3 linked regions of the Caenorhabditis elegans genome follow. The protein of the gene in region 1 purifies or fractionates together with the protein of each later gene. This does not show direct contact. Each region holds a gene or a part of one and is shown in the gene's direction. Other genes may lie near its edges.

The links.
Region 2: the proteins of C27H6.8 (region 1) and cdd-2 fractionate together in Caenorhabditis elegans (co-fractionation; one large-scale study listed by BioGRID). This does not show direct contact.
Region 3: the proteins of C27H6.8 (region 1) and ttr-51 fractionate together in Caenorhabditis elegans (co-fractionation; one large-scale study listed by BioGRID). This does not show direct contact.

What each region holds. Positions count from the first base shown.
Region 1 is NC_003283.11:9,985,913-9,989,773, reverse strand, and holds C27H6.8 (MYG1 protein C27H6.8), read left to right. Parts: upstream 1-1,985; 5' UTR 1,986-2,021; coding exon 2,022-2,128; intron 2,129-2,223; coding exon 2,224-2,425; intron 2,426-2,471; coding exon 2,472-2,919; intron 2,920-2,971; coding exon 2,972-3,237; 3' UTR 3,238-3,343; downstream 3,344-3,861. Other genes in the region: rde-1 (Piwi domain-containing protein), read left to right, coding at 1-81, 122-236, 281-889, 951-1,433, 1,510-1,731; rmd-2 (TPR_REGION domain-containing protein), read left to right, coding at 3,497-3,654, 3,701-3,819.
Region 2 is NC_003282.8:7,546,616-7,549,559, reverse strand, and holds cdd-2 (Cytidine deaminase), read left to right. Parts: upstream 1-1,666; coding exon 1,667-1,811; intron 1,812-1,907; coding exon 1,908-2,089; intron 2,090-2,134; coding exon 2,135-2,308; 3' UTR 2,309-2,442; downstream 2,443-2,944. Other genes in the region: oef-1 (C2H2-type domain-containing protein), read right to left, coding at 1-38, 90-319, 363-469, 514-622, 675-866, 910-1,002; pam-1 (Puromycin-sensitive aminopeptidase), read left to right, coding at 2,443-2,547, 2,657-2,944.
Region 3 is NC_003282.8:13,250,042-13,254,154, reverse strand, and holds ttr-51 (Transthyretin-like family protein), read left to right. Parts: upstream 1-1,843; coding exon 1,844-1,906; intron 1,907-3,082; coding exon 3,083-3,436; 3' UTR 3,437-3,500; downstream 3,501-4,113. Other genes in the region: JC8.7 (Zinc finger, CCHC-type), read right to left, coding at 3,662-3,781.

The sequences.
Region 1 (3,861 bases):
TCCCGAAAAAGAACTTTGCTGTGCTGTTTTTGTAGTCAACGAAACAGCGGGAAATCCATGCTTAGAAGAGAACGACGTTGTGTAAGTGTTTTCTACGTAGATTATTCCGAAATATTTTCAGTAAGTTCTACACCGAACTAATTGGTGGTTGCAAGTTCCGTGGAATACGAATTGGTGCCAATGAAAACAGAGGAGCGCAATCTATTATGTACGACGCGACGAAAAATGAATATGCCGTAAGTTTCAGAAAATTGAAAGTTTTTAAATATCATATTTACAGTTCTACAAAAATTGTACACTAAATACCGGAATCGGTAGATTTGAAATAGCCGCAACAGAAGCGAAGAATATGTTTGAACGTCTTCCCGATAAAGAACAAAAAGTCTTAATGTTCATTATCATTTCCAAACGACAACTGAATGCTTACGGTTTTGTGAAACATTATTGCGATCACACCATCGGTGTAGCTAATCAGCATATTACTTCTGAAACAGTCACAAAAGCTTTGGCATCACTAAGGCACGAGAAAGGATCAAAACGAATTTTCTATCAAATTGCATTGAAAATCAACGCGAAATTAGGAGGTATTAACCAGGAGCTTGACTGGTCAGAAATTGCAGAAATATCACCAGAAGAAAAAGAAAGACGGAAAACAATGCCATTAACTATGTATGTTGGAATTGATGTAACTCATCCAACCTCCTACAGTGGAATTGATTATTCTATAGCGGCTGTAGTAGCGAGTATCAATCCAGGTGGAACTATCTATCGAAATATGATTGTGACTCAAGAAGAATGTCGTCCCGGTGAGCGTGCAGTGGCTCATGGACGGGAAAGAACAGATATTTTGGAAGCAAAGTTCGTGAAATTGCTCAGAGAATTCGCAGAAGTGAGTTGTCTTGAGTATTTAAAAGATCTCTGGGATTTTTAATTTTTTTGTAAACTTTCAGAACAACGACAATCGAGCACCAGCGCATATTGTAGTCTATCGAGACGGAGTTAGCGATTCGGAGATGCTACGTGTTAGTCATGATGAGCTTCGATCTTTAAAAAGCGAAGTAAAACAATTCATGTCGGAACGGGATGGAGAAGATCCAGAGCCGAAGTACACGTTCATTGTGATTCAGAAAAGACACAATACACGATTGCTTCGAAGAATGGAAAAAGATAAGCCAGTGGTCAATAAAGATCTTACTCCTGCTGAAACAGATGTCGCTGTTGCTGCTGTTAAACAATGGGAGGAGGATATGAAAGAAAGCAAAGAAACTGGAATTGTGAACCCATCATCCGGAACAACTGTGGATAAACTTATCGTTTCGAAATACAAATTCGATTTTTTCTTGGCATCTCATCATGGTGTCCTTGGTACATCTCGTCCAGGACATTACACTGTTATGTATGACGATAAAGGAATGAGCCAAGATGAAGTCTATGTAAGCGTTTTGAATAGCAGTTAGCGATTTTAGGATTTTGTAATCCGCATATAGTTATTATAAAAAAATGTTTCAGAAAATGACCTACGGACTTGCTTTTCTCTCTGCTAGATGTCGAAAACCCATCTCGTTGCCTGTTCCGGTTCATTATGCTCATTTATCATGTGAAAAAGCGAAAGAGCTTTATCGAACTTACAAGGAACATTACATCGGTGACTATGCACAGCCACGGACTCGACACGAAATGGAACATTTTCTCCAAACTAACGTGAAGTACCCTGGAATGTCGTTCGCATAACATTTTGCAAAAGTGTCGCCCGTTTCAATCAAATTTTTCAATTGTAGATATTGTACTTACTTTTTTTTAAAGCCCGGTTTCAAAAATTCATTCCATGACTAACGTTTTCATAAATTACTTGAAATTTATTCTGTGTTTATTATTTATTACCTCTAAATTTCGTTTTGAACGTGAGCATCATATCTTAAACTACTTATTGATAACGGTTTCATAAAGATAGGTAATTTGATTTTTAAAATGTTTTCTCTCTGCAGGTGATTTCACGACTTCTTGGACAGTTCGGTCACAAGATGACATCGCTCATTGGTACTCACTCCGGAAAATTCCATTGCGATGAGGCTTTTGCTTGTTTCATGCTGAAACAATTGCCACAATTCAAGGATCATTCGATTTTAAGGTAATTCGATTTTTCATGTTTATCAAGTTTGCGAAATGACCCACTTTTTTATTAGGATTTATTTTATAGCTGAGTTCTGAAATCTGTAATTTCAGAACCCGTGACGCTGCTCAACTGGAGAAGTGTGATATTATCGTCGATGTCGGTGGAATCTTTGATCATTCAAAACAACGATACGATCATCATCAACGTGGATTCACTGATACCATGCGTACTCTAGAGAAGCTTAACTTTGATACAAAACTAAGCTCTGCAGGATTAGTTTACGCTCACTACGGGAGAGAAGTCATCAATCAGGTAACTTTCAATAATCAAAAGGTTGTTTTGAAACTATTAACTTCAGATCCTTGGTGGAAATGTGTCATCCTCGATGATTGATCTATTCTATCATCGTCTCTACGAGCAATTCGTTGAATCAATCGACGCCATTGATAACGGGATTTCTCAATACGACGGAGTTCCAAGATATCATTCATCAGGAAATCTTTCATCGCGTACTGGTCAATTCAATTCCCATTGGAATGAACCTGAGAATGATGCTGATGAACGATTCCAACAAGCAATGCAATTCATCGGTGAAGAGTTTTCACGATCAGTGAAGTACTTGGCAAATGTTTGGTGGCCAGCTAGAGAGATCATCGAAGCTGCTGTGGATAAACGATTTGAAATTGATGCATCTGGAAGGATCATTCTTATCGAGAACGGTGGATGCCCGTGGAAAGAACACTTTTTCGACATTGAAGTAGAGAAGAATATTGCCGACGATAATATCACTTACATTCTGTTCTCGGGTTAGAAATTATTTAATTTTTTAAAATTCAATAATTATTATCTGTTTTCTAGATTCTACCAATGCTTCGTGGCGCGTTCAAGCAATCCCAGTCGACAAAATGTCATCATTCGAGAATCGCATGCCACTTCCAGCTGCTTGGCGTGGTCTCCGTGATGACGATCTTTCGAAGGAAAGTGGAATCCCAGGCGGAGTCTTTGTCCACATTTCCGGATTCATTGGAGGAAATCTGACTCGTGAAGGAGCAATTGCCATGGCACGGAAAGCTCTCGAAATAGGAGAAGAGAATCCAGTGAAAAAAGCTAAATTGGGTAATTAGATCTAATCTATCTAAAATTAATTACTGTTTTCATTTGTTTTGTTTGAATTTGTCCAGCTGATATTTCAGTGATCCTTTGATATTTTATTACGTTCAATAAACTTCCTCCCCGATGTCACTTTGCTTTTCTTCTTTTCTTTTTCCATCTCTTACACTCCAGTTGTCTATAAAATTTGTCACGTGTCATAACGGTCCGGTTCTTGCCTGAATCTTTATACTTCTAAATCAGTGAGCCATTGGTATTTTCTAAGCTTAACAGATGACTACGCCGTCTACAAGTTCTGAAACTGTATGGAAATATGTGGGAATAACAGCAGCCACAGGTGCGGCTGTAGGTATATTTCTATACTATGCAAGAAAAGATGACCGAAATATCGTCGAAATCGAACGACTTCAGATGATGACCGAGGTTCTAGGGTATCAAAATGAAGTACGAAAGTTGTTTCAGAAAAAATAATTTTAGTGCCAAAGTTGACGATCTCGAAACTCTGCTGAAAACCATGTACGATGAAATCAAAAGTCAACGCGCACTTCGAACTTCTTTGAGTAGTGGAGCTCTCAAGACTGTATCTTTCAAATTAGGTAATTGAAAAAAAGTAGAAATATAAATTATATATTTTTCAG
Region 2 (2,944 bases), on another chromosome or scaffold:
CCATAACTGAATTGAAAGTTGACACTTGCTCATTGGACCTAAATTTGAATCGAATTTTTAAAAGCATTTCTTCAATGTGATTTTCCTACCATAAGTCACGAAATTCAATTTCCACGTGGGTTTTATCGTGGTGTTCAGAAATATGTTCACATGGTGATTTCGACACAGGAAGAGTTCTCAAACAGTGGACACACTCATAGCGTTTTGCTATGTCTACATTGAGAAATTCCGATTCTGGGTGGGCGTCTAGAACATGTTCAGTCTGTTTCCTAATTTTTGTATTTCGGTTTCTACCGGTTTCCACTTCATGCTTGCACAGCTGAAAATTGTAGTTGAATCTGACGCAATTGTCGGGGTCTCACCGAACAATATGCCATATCAAGTTGATCTTCCTTTCCGTTTTCAACGATTATCGAGTCATTTGGTGTTTCAGCATCCATTGAGTTTACCATAAACAATTGCGGAATATCTGTTATCAGCGAAATATTAAAAATTAAATGAACGAACTCTTACTGTTTACAATGTTCTCTGATTCGTGATCATCCAAAACTGCATCTTCCTCGATGTTAGTTGGCTCGAGCAAAAGTTTCAACGCATCCGAGTTTTCGGCGAAAGTTCCGCGCTGAAATACTTTTTATTATTTTCGAACAATATTCGAGTTATTCAATCCTTACCGCCCATTTCTCTAATATTTCTTGGTTTGAAGACATCTGAATGGCGGGTTGGTTTGCTTCCGAAAACGGATCAACCGATTTCTGTTCCTCGGCTGTTTCTCGAAAATTAAAAGTTCCACTGTCCAATTTATCCAAATATTCTTTCATTTCTTCCGGAGTTGACGAGAAAATGTGATTCAAGTGATTGTTCGTCTAAAAATATGAATTAGGAAGAATAATTAAAGAAAAAACTCACCAAATAGCGACGAAGCTTTCGTGCAGCATTAATTTGTTCGATGTTATCATCGATACTCACAAGTACAAACCGTTTTCGCAATGATTTCGGCATTGTTATAAAAAGAGAGACAAGTTTGAATTGAGTTCGAATTCGTTCGCGAACGAACGTTCGTGGTCGACAAACTACGGTACGCTGGAGTACGCAATGAGATACGCAAACACGCTCGCGCATTTTTTTGACTTTTGTAATGCGCGCGCGCGCCACGGCCCGGCAAGTGGTACATCTATGCAAATGCGCTCTACTGATAATTTGAGTGTAGACCAGGTTTGGGCGCGTGATAATGAAAAAAGCTTTGGTCCAAAAAATTTAGAATTTAATTTCGGACATTATTTATATGCATCACAAAAAAACTGGACCAACCGTTTTTGAGATACACGCGCCCAAACGTCCAGGTATACGGTAGACAAATTGCGTACAGGTACCACTTCTCGGGCCGCGCGCGCGCAAAAATGTCCCGTGGATTTTTCATTTCACCAATTCTCGAAGTTGAGGCTGAAAAATAGTTGCAAAGTTCCCATTTTGTCATGTTTTTTTTAAATATAACGCGACCCGTTCACTGAATATGGGATTTAACGTCACTTTGCATGCGTTCCACAACGCAAATTCTTTTGTGTATTGCTAACTTTTCTCATCAATGTTGTTCTCTGTTCTTCTAATAATTTAATTCGCCTCATTCGCTTCTCATTTCATGCACTTTTGTCATAGTTAACTACAGATGGCCGCGAATAGTCTTCCTCAAGATATTTCCGATGTGGAACTAGTTCATTTGGCCCGAGCTGCGATGAAACGGGCACATTGCCCATACAGCAAGTTTCCAGTTGGTGCAGCGCTTCTCACTGAATCTGGGGAAATTGTCCAGGGTAATTTGTGATTTCTTGTCGTTGCATAACTCGAGATGTCTGCGGGCTTCTCAGTTTCGCAACATGCATTTTTGAAGTTTCTAGCATTTTCTGTAGGCTGCAATGTCGAGAATGCTTCATACGGTGGCACTATCTGCGCTGAGCGTAGTGCTATTGTTTCTGCTGTGTCACAAGGATACACGAAATTCCGTGCCATTGCTGTCGTCACTGAGCTCAGCGAACCTGCGTCTCCCTGTGGACTTTGCCGTCAATTTCTAGTTGAATTCGGTGACTATAAAGTAAGAAAACTAGAGCTTCTTAATTTTTCACTGTCATCGTTGCAGGTTGTTGTGGGAACTGCATCTAACAATAAAATTCTCATCACCTCAACTCGCGCTCTTCTTCCATTTGCTTTCACTCCTGAATCGCTCGACACTTTTGAGCAAGAAAAAGCATCAGAAGCTAAAGGATTAAAGCAAGATGATGCCACGGAGCATAACGTTACAGTCGTCTCTTAATTTTTTATTCCAATCAGAAACTCCTTTCCACATTTCCCGCCATTCCTAGTAGTGTTTTTTTTCATTTGTGATATCCTTCTCTTTCTTTCAATTTAGTTGTGTCAAAAATTCATTTTATTAATAAAACTTTTCAGAATGGCGGCCTGTGGAAACCCAAGCGCGGCGGTCAAATTTGAGAGGCTTCCAACATTCGCCGAACCAACTCATTACAACGTCCGTTTATCGCCATGCCTCAACCAGTAAGTTCTGTAATAATATTTCAGTTTAGCTAGGACGGCAGTAATAAATGTTGATATGTAGTTTAAATTTGCAACAAAACCACTTCAAGTTCTAATTCTTGTTTTTCAGATTCTCTTTCGATGGTCATGCAACGATTGACGTCACAATCAAAGAAGCTACTGATGTCTTGAAGGTGCATGCACAGAGTTTGCTGATTCAGTCGGTATCGCTTATCACTCAGCCAGGAGACGCTTCTAAATCTCTCGAAACTAGCTACGACGATAAGCTCAATATTTTGACTATCAAGCTTCCGACTACCATGCAGCCACAGAAGGTTCAGCTCGACTTCAAGTTTGTCGGTGAACTGAACGATAAGATGCGAGGATTTTATCGCAGTCAGTACAAGGATAAGAACGG
Region 3 (4,113 bases), on another chromosome or scaffold:
ATGTTTTGTGTTTGTGAGAAATTGTTGTTGACAGAGGCGGACAGTTGTCCATTTTATTTTCCAATCTTTCTGATTACACTACTGATAACGATTAGGCTTCATGATTGGCATTTGTTTGATGGGAAAAGAGTTCACGAGCACAGACCGATCAAAGTTTCATGTGACAGGGAACTAGAAAACTAGACTTTTCTTATCAGAGAACGAATCAAAAATCAAGAGAATGCCGTTAAGTTAAAGGCGCACATGGGTCTCGCCACAATTTATTGGCGAAAAATTTTACTTGTAGTGTTATATTACCTAGACACGTGGTGTCAGGCTGTCCCATTGCGGTTTGATCTACAAAAATTGCGGGATTTTATTCCCAAAGAAAATGTGACGTCAGCACGTTCTTAACCATGAGAAAATCTGATGAGAACTCTGCATCTATGTATACTCCCGAATTTTTTGTAGATCTACTAAGAAAATAGGGGAAATCAATAGTAAGAAAAATTCCGCAGCAACAAGAGTTTGAAATTACAGTACCCGTAAAAGACGCACAACTTTTTGCATTAAAAAAGTTTTCGTGTCAAGACCAGGTACCGTATAAATAGCTTCGTTGCTGCAGGTTTGAGGAATTTAAGAATATCAAGAAGTGAAGAAAATTTGATGTTTTCTGATGAACCAATTATATTTTTATGCAAACTCGTAACAATATGAAAAAAATGTGAAAACTATTGTGTTCAGCCAATTTAAACCTAGAGAGATACAAAGACCTGTCCCGATGACTCAGAAAAAAGATCAAAAGTTTGAAAACATACATAGTGCGAAAATTCGTCATGGCTGAACTATTTTTTGGCAGGTACATAAGTTATAATAATTGTTGACAGTTTTCATTATTTCAATAGAATTTGGTTTCCATATATGTATAAATGTTTGTTAGTTTTAAAATATAAGTTTAGTTTCAACAATCAGCTACAGCCTAGAAAAAATCTCGGCCACCAATTCACGGGGCCGTGTAATGGGGTTATTAATGTGATGACGAAAAATGCAAAAATGTATTTTTATACAGTTTTTCCCCTATTCATGTGTGTAGAAAAATGTTAAAAAACGCATGTATTTTTCAACATTTTTTTACATTTTTCTACATCGTCGTGGCCGAAAATCAGTGGCCGAGTTTTTTCTTTTTTTTTCTGATTTTTCACAATATAGAAATCGATACCCACAAGAGCCCAGAAAAGGGGAATTTTATAAATCCGGAAAACCAATTTTCAAGAAAATCCCCCAAAATGATGAGGGTGGCCGGGGTTTCTCTTTCGCGGCCACGTAGAAAAAGTTGTGGGTACAGAGTACAGAGTCAGACAAAAAATTAAATTGTCTTGTCATGAACCAATAGTTCCTTTTATACAAATATCAGTATCATCCCATTTCCGGACAGAAAAGTTCTATTTTTGAATTTTCATGTTTTTCTTTTTCTTTTTTTGTTTTCCGATGATAACATCATTTTCCATTGTGACACTGAAATGTTTAAAAGTTCTTCGGATGAATCATTCTTGTGCTCTCTGTACTCTCCAAACTCCTATAAAAACTCCTCACTCCACCCCATTCTATCAATTCGAGACAGTTGTTCTTGGCAGAAGAGGCTCTCGGAGATTTAATATCAGTTATTTTCGTTTTATTTTTTAATTCCCACGTATCACTTGAATCGGGTCTTGGCACGAGCGAAACTTCGTTTTTGCTACAGTACCCCACGAGTACGGTAGCTGAAAAGATTCGCTTGAAAATCCAGTTTTCTCGCTAATAACCGTAACACATTCATTTTTTCAGGTTCAGAAAAAGTCTGATTTGTAATATGATTTTTTTTCAGATGAAGTACACTTTTCTTCTACTCTGCGCCATTTTCGGCTGCACTTTGGCCATGAGACAACAGGTTTGTTTTCTTGTTTTTCAAAGCATCATCATTTAGTCTTGCCGAAAATTCAGGCTGAGGTGTTCCGAATTATATATATTTTTTTTCAATTTTTGCGCGACGATGCACCATGTTTTACTAAAAATGAATAAAAAAAATAGAATCAAAGCCACTGAAAAACGTTTGCGCCTTTAAGAAATACAGTAACCCACTTCTCCTTATCGTTTTCAATTGGTTCTGGCTTCCCTCATATTTTGAAATGGAAGAGTTTGCCGAACTAGGTCATTTTGGCTCGGCCATATCTGGGGAGATTTTCGGCACGTTGCGTGTCGCGTCGCGGCTCGGTTTTAGTTGCAAAACTAAATGTAATTGTCCGTGTGGAGTACACGACTTTCACACGCGTTGTCCGGCAGGCGATTGTCAATGGAGCGCGAAAAATTCAATGAGGAAGCCCAGAACCCCGTATTTTCCGACAAAATTTAGAAAAATAATCAGAAATGTAGAAAAAAAAATAGGAAAGTTTAATTTTCAGTAATTTAATTAATAATTTCTTGCACTAAAATTTGGTTATTCACACAGAAGTGAAATTTTCAGATTTTTGTTTCGAAAATACAGTACCCGGTCTCGACACGACACATTTAAAATTTTGTTTTGTTAAATATAGAACGATGTGCGCCTTTAAAGAGTATACTGTAATTTTGAACTCTCGATTCTGCAGAGTTTTCATCGATTTTTCCTAGGCTTCTGATATAAAAATATTTTTTTTTTAATCGTGAGAAAAACTATGAAAAATCGATGAAAAATTCCGCAACAACAAAAGTTTGAAGTTACAGTAATCTCTAAAGGAGCACACCTTTTTACGTTTAACAAAAATTCGTCGTGTCGAGACCAAGTACTGTATTTTTAGGGAGCAAAGTGCTTAATTTCGTGTCTGGATGACATTTAAAAAATGAAGAAAATTGCGAAATAACGTGGTTACTGTACTATTTAAAGGCACATACCATTTTTCGCAGTCTCGATTTGAAAAACTTTCTCTCGTGGCGAGAGTTGGACTGTATTTGTCCCTAAAATCGTAAAACTTAAAAAATAATTAAAAACTGAAAGTTTAGGAAATTCAAAAAAAACTCCCAGTTTTTTTCAAAAAAGTCCTAAAATTCGAGTTGTTCCCCGACCTAATCCCAATTTCAAACATTCCAGTCAGTCGCCGTCTCAGGCAAATTAATGTGCGGAAGTAAGCCAGCCTCAGGAGTAAAAGTGAAGCTATGGGATGAAGATGATGGTCCAGATCCAGATGATGTTCTTGACGAGGGATTCACAAATAATGATGGAACATTCCGTCTTGAAGGATCCGAACGTGAATTGACAAATATCGATCCAGTGTTCAAAGTGTATCATGATTGTGATGATGGAATTATTCCAGGACAAAGAAAAATCAAATTCCGTATTCCAAACAAGTACATCTCGGCTGGTGGACGTGCTCAGAAAACCTTCGAGATTGGAGTCTTGAATCTTGAGACAATCTTCCCGAAAGAAGAACGTGATCTTTTGTAAAAACATCCCTTTTACTTTTACAATTTAATTTTCATAAAAGTTTAAAATAAAGTTTTTCAACAAAACAAAAATCATCAAAATTATACAGATAAACAGAGCAAATTGAAAGTTTTAGATTAAAAAAAAAGAATTTAGATTGTTTGTAGATCGGGAAGATGAGATATGCCAGGAAAACCTGAGATTTTGAAATTTCACAGAATTATCATGATTTGACAGCGGCTCAATTTAGGTAGCTTCTTCTTGTTGATCACGGAGGCTGAGTGTGAGATCGAGTATTTTCGCGAAATCGGGACGATGGAGATTCTTGTAGGCTATGTGAAGAGTTATCATCATTGGGTCGGCTACCTGAAACAATTTTTGTTGAAGTTATGGTTTGAAAATCAAAAATTAAAAATCTTTTTTCAAAAATTTGATTTTTTTAAAAGAATTTTCACATTGATAGTTTTCAGGTTTATAATTTTTTAACCGAAAAAATGACAATTTTCGTTTTTATTTTTTGATTTTCTGAAATAAAAAAATAGAGGTTTTTTTAAACGAAAAATCGAAAAATTTCCGTTTTAATATTTTTTTAACCAGAAAATCAAAAATTTTCCGATTTTTTAACGTTTTTTTTTGAAACTGAAAAATCGAAGGGTTTTTATTAATCAAAAATTTGTTCTCTTCTGGCAAAAAATTTG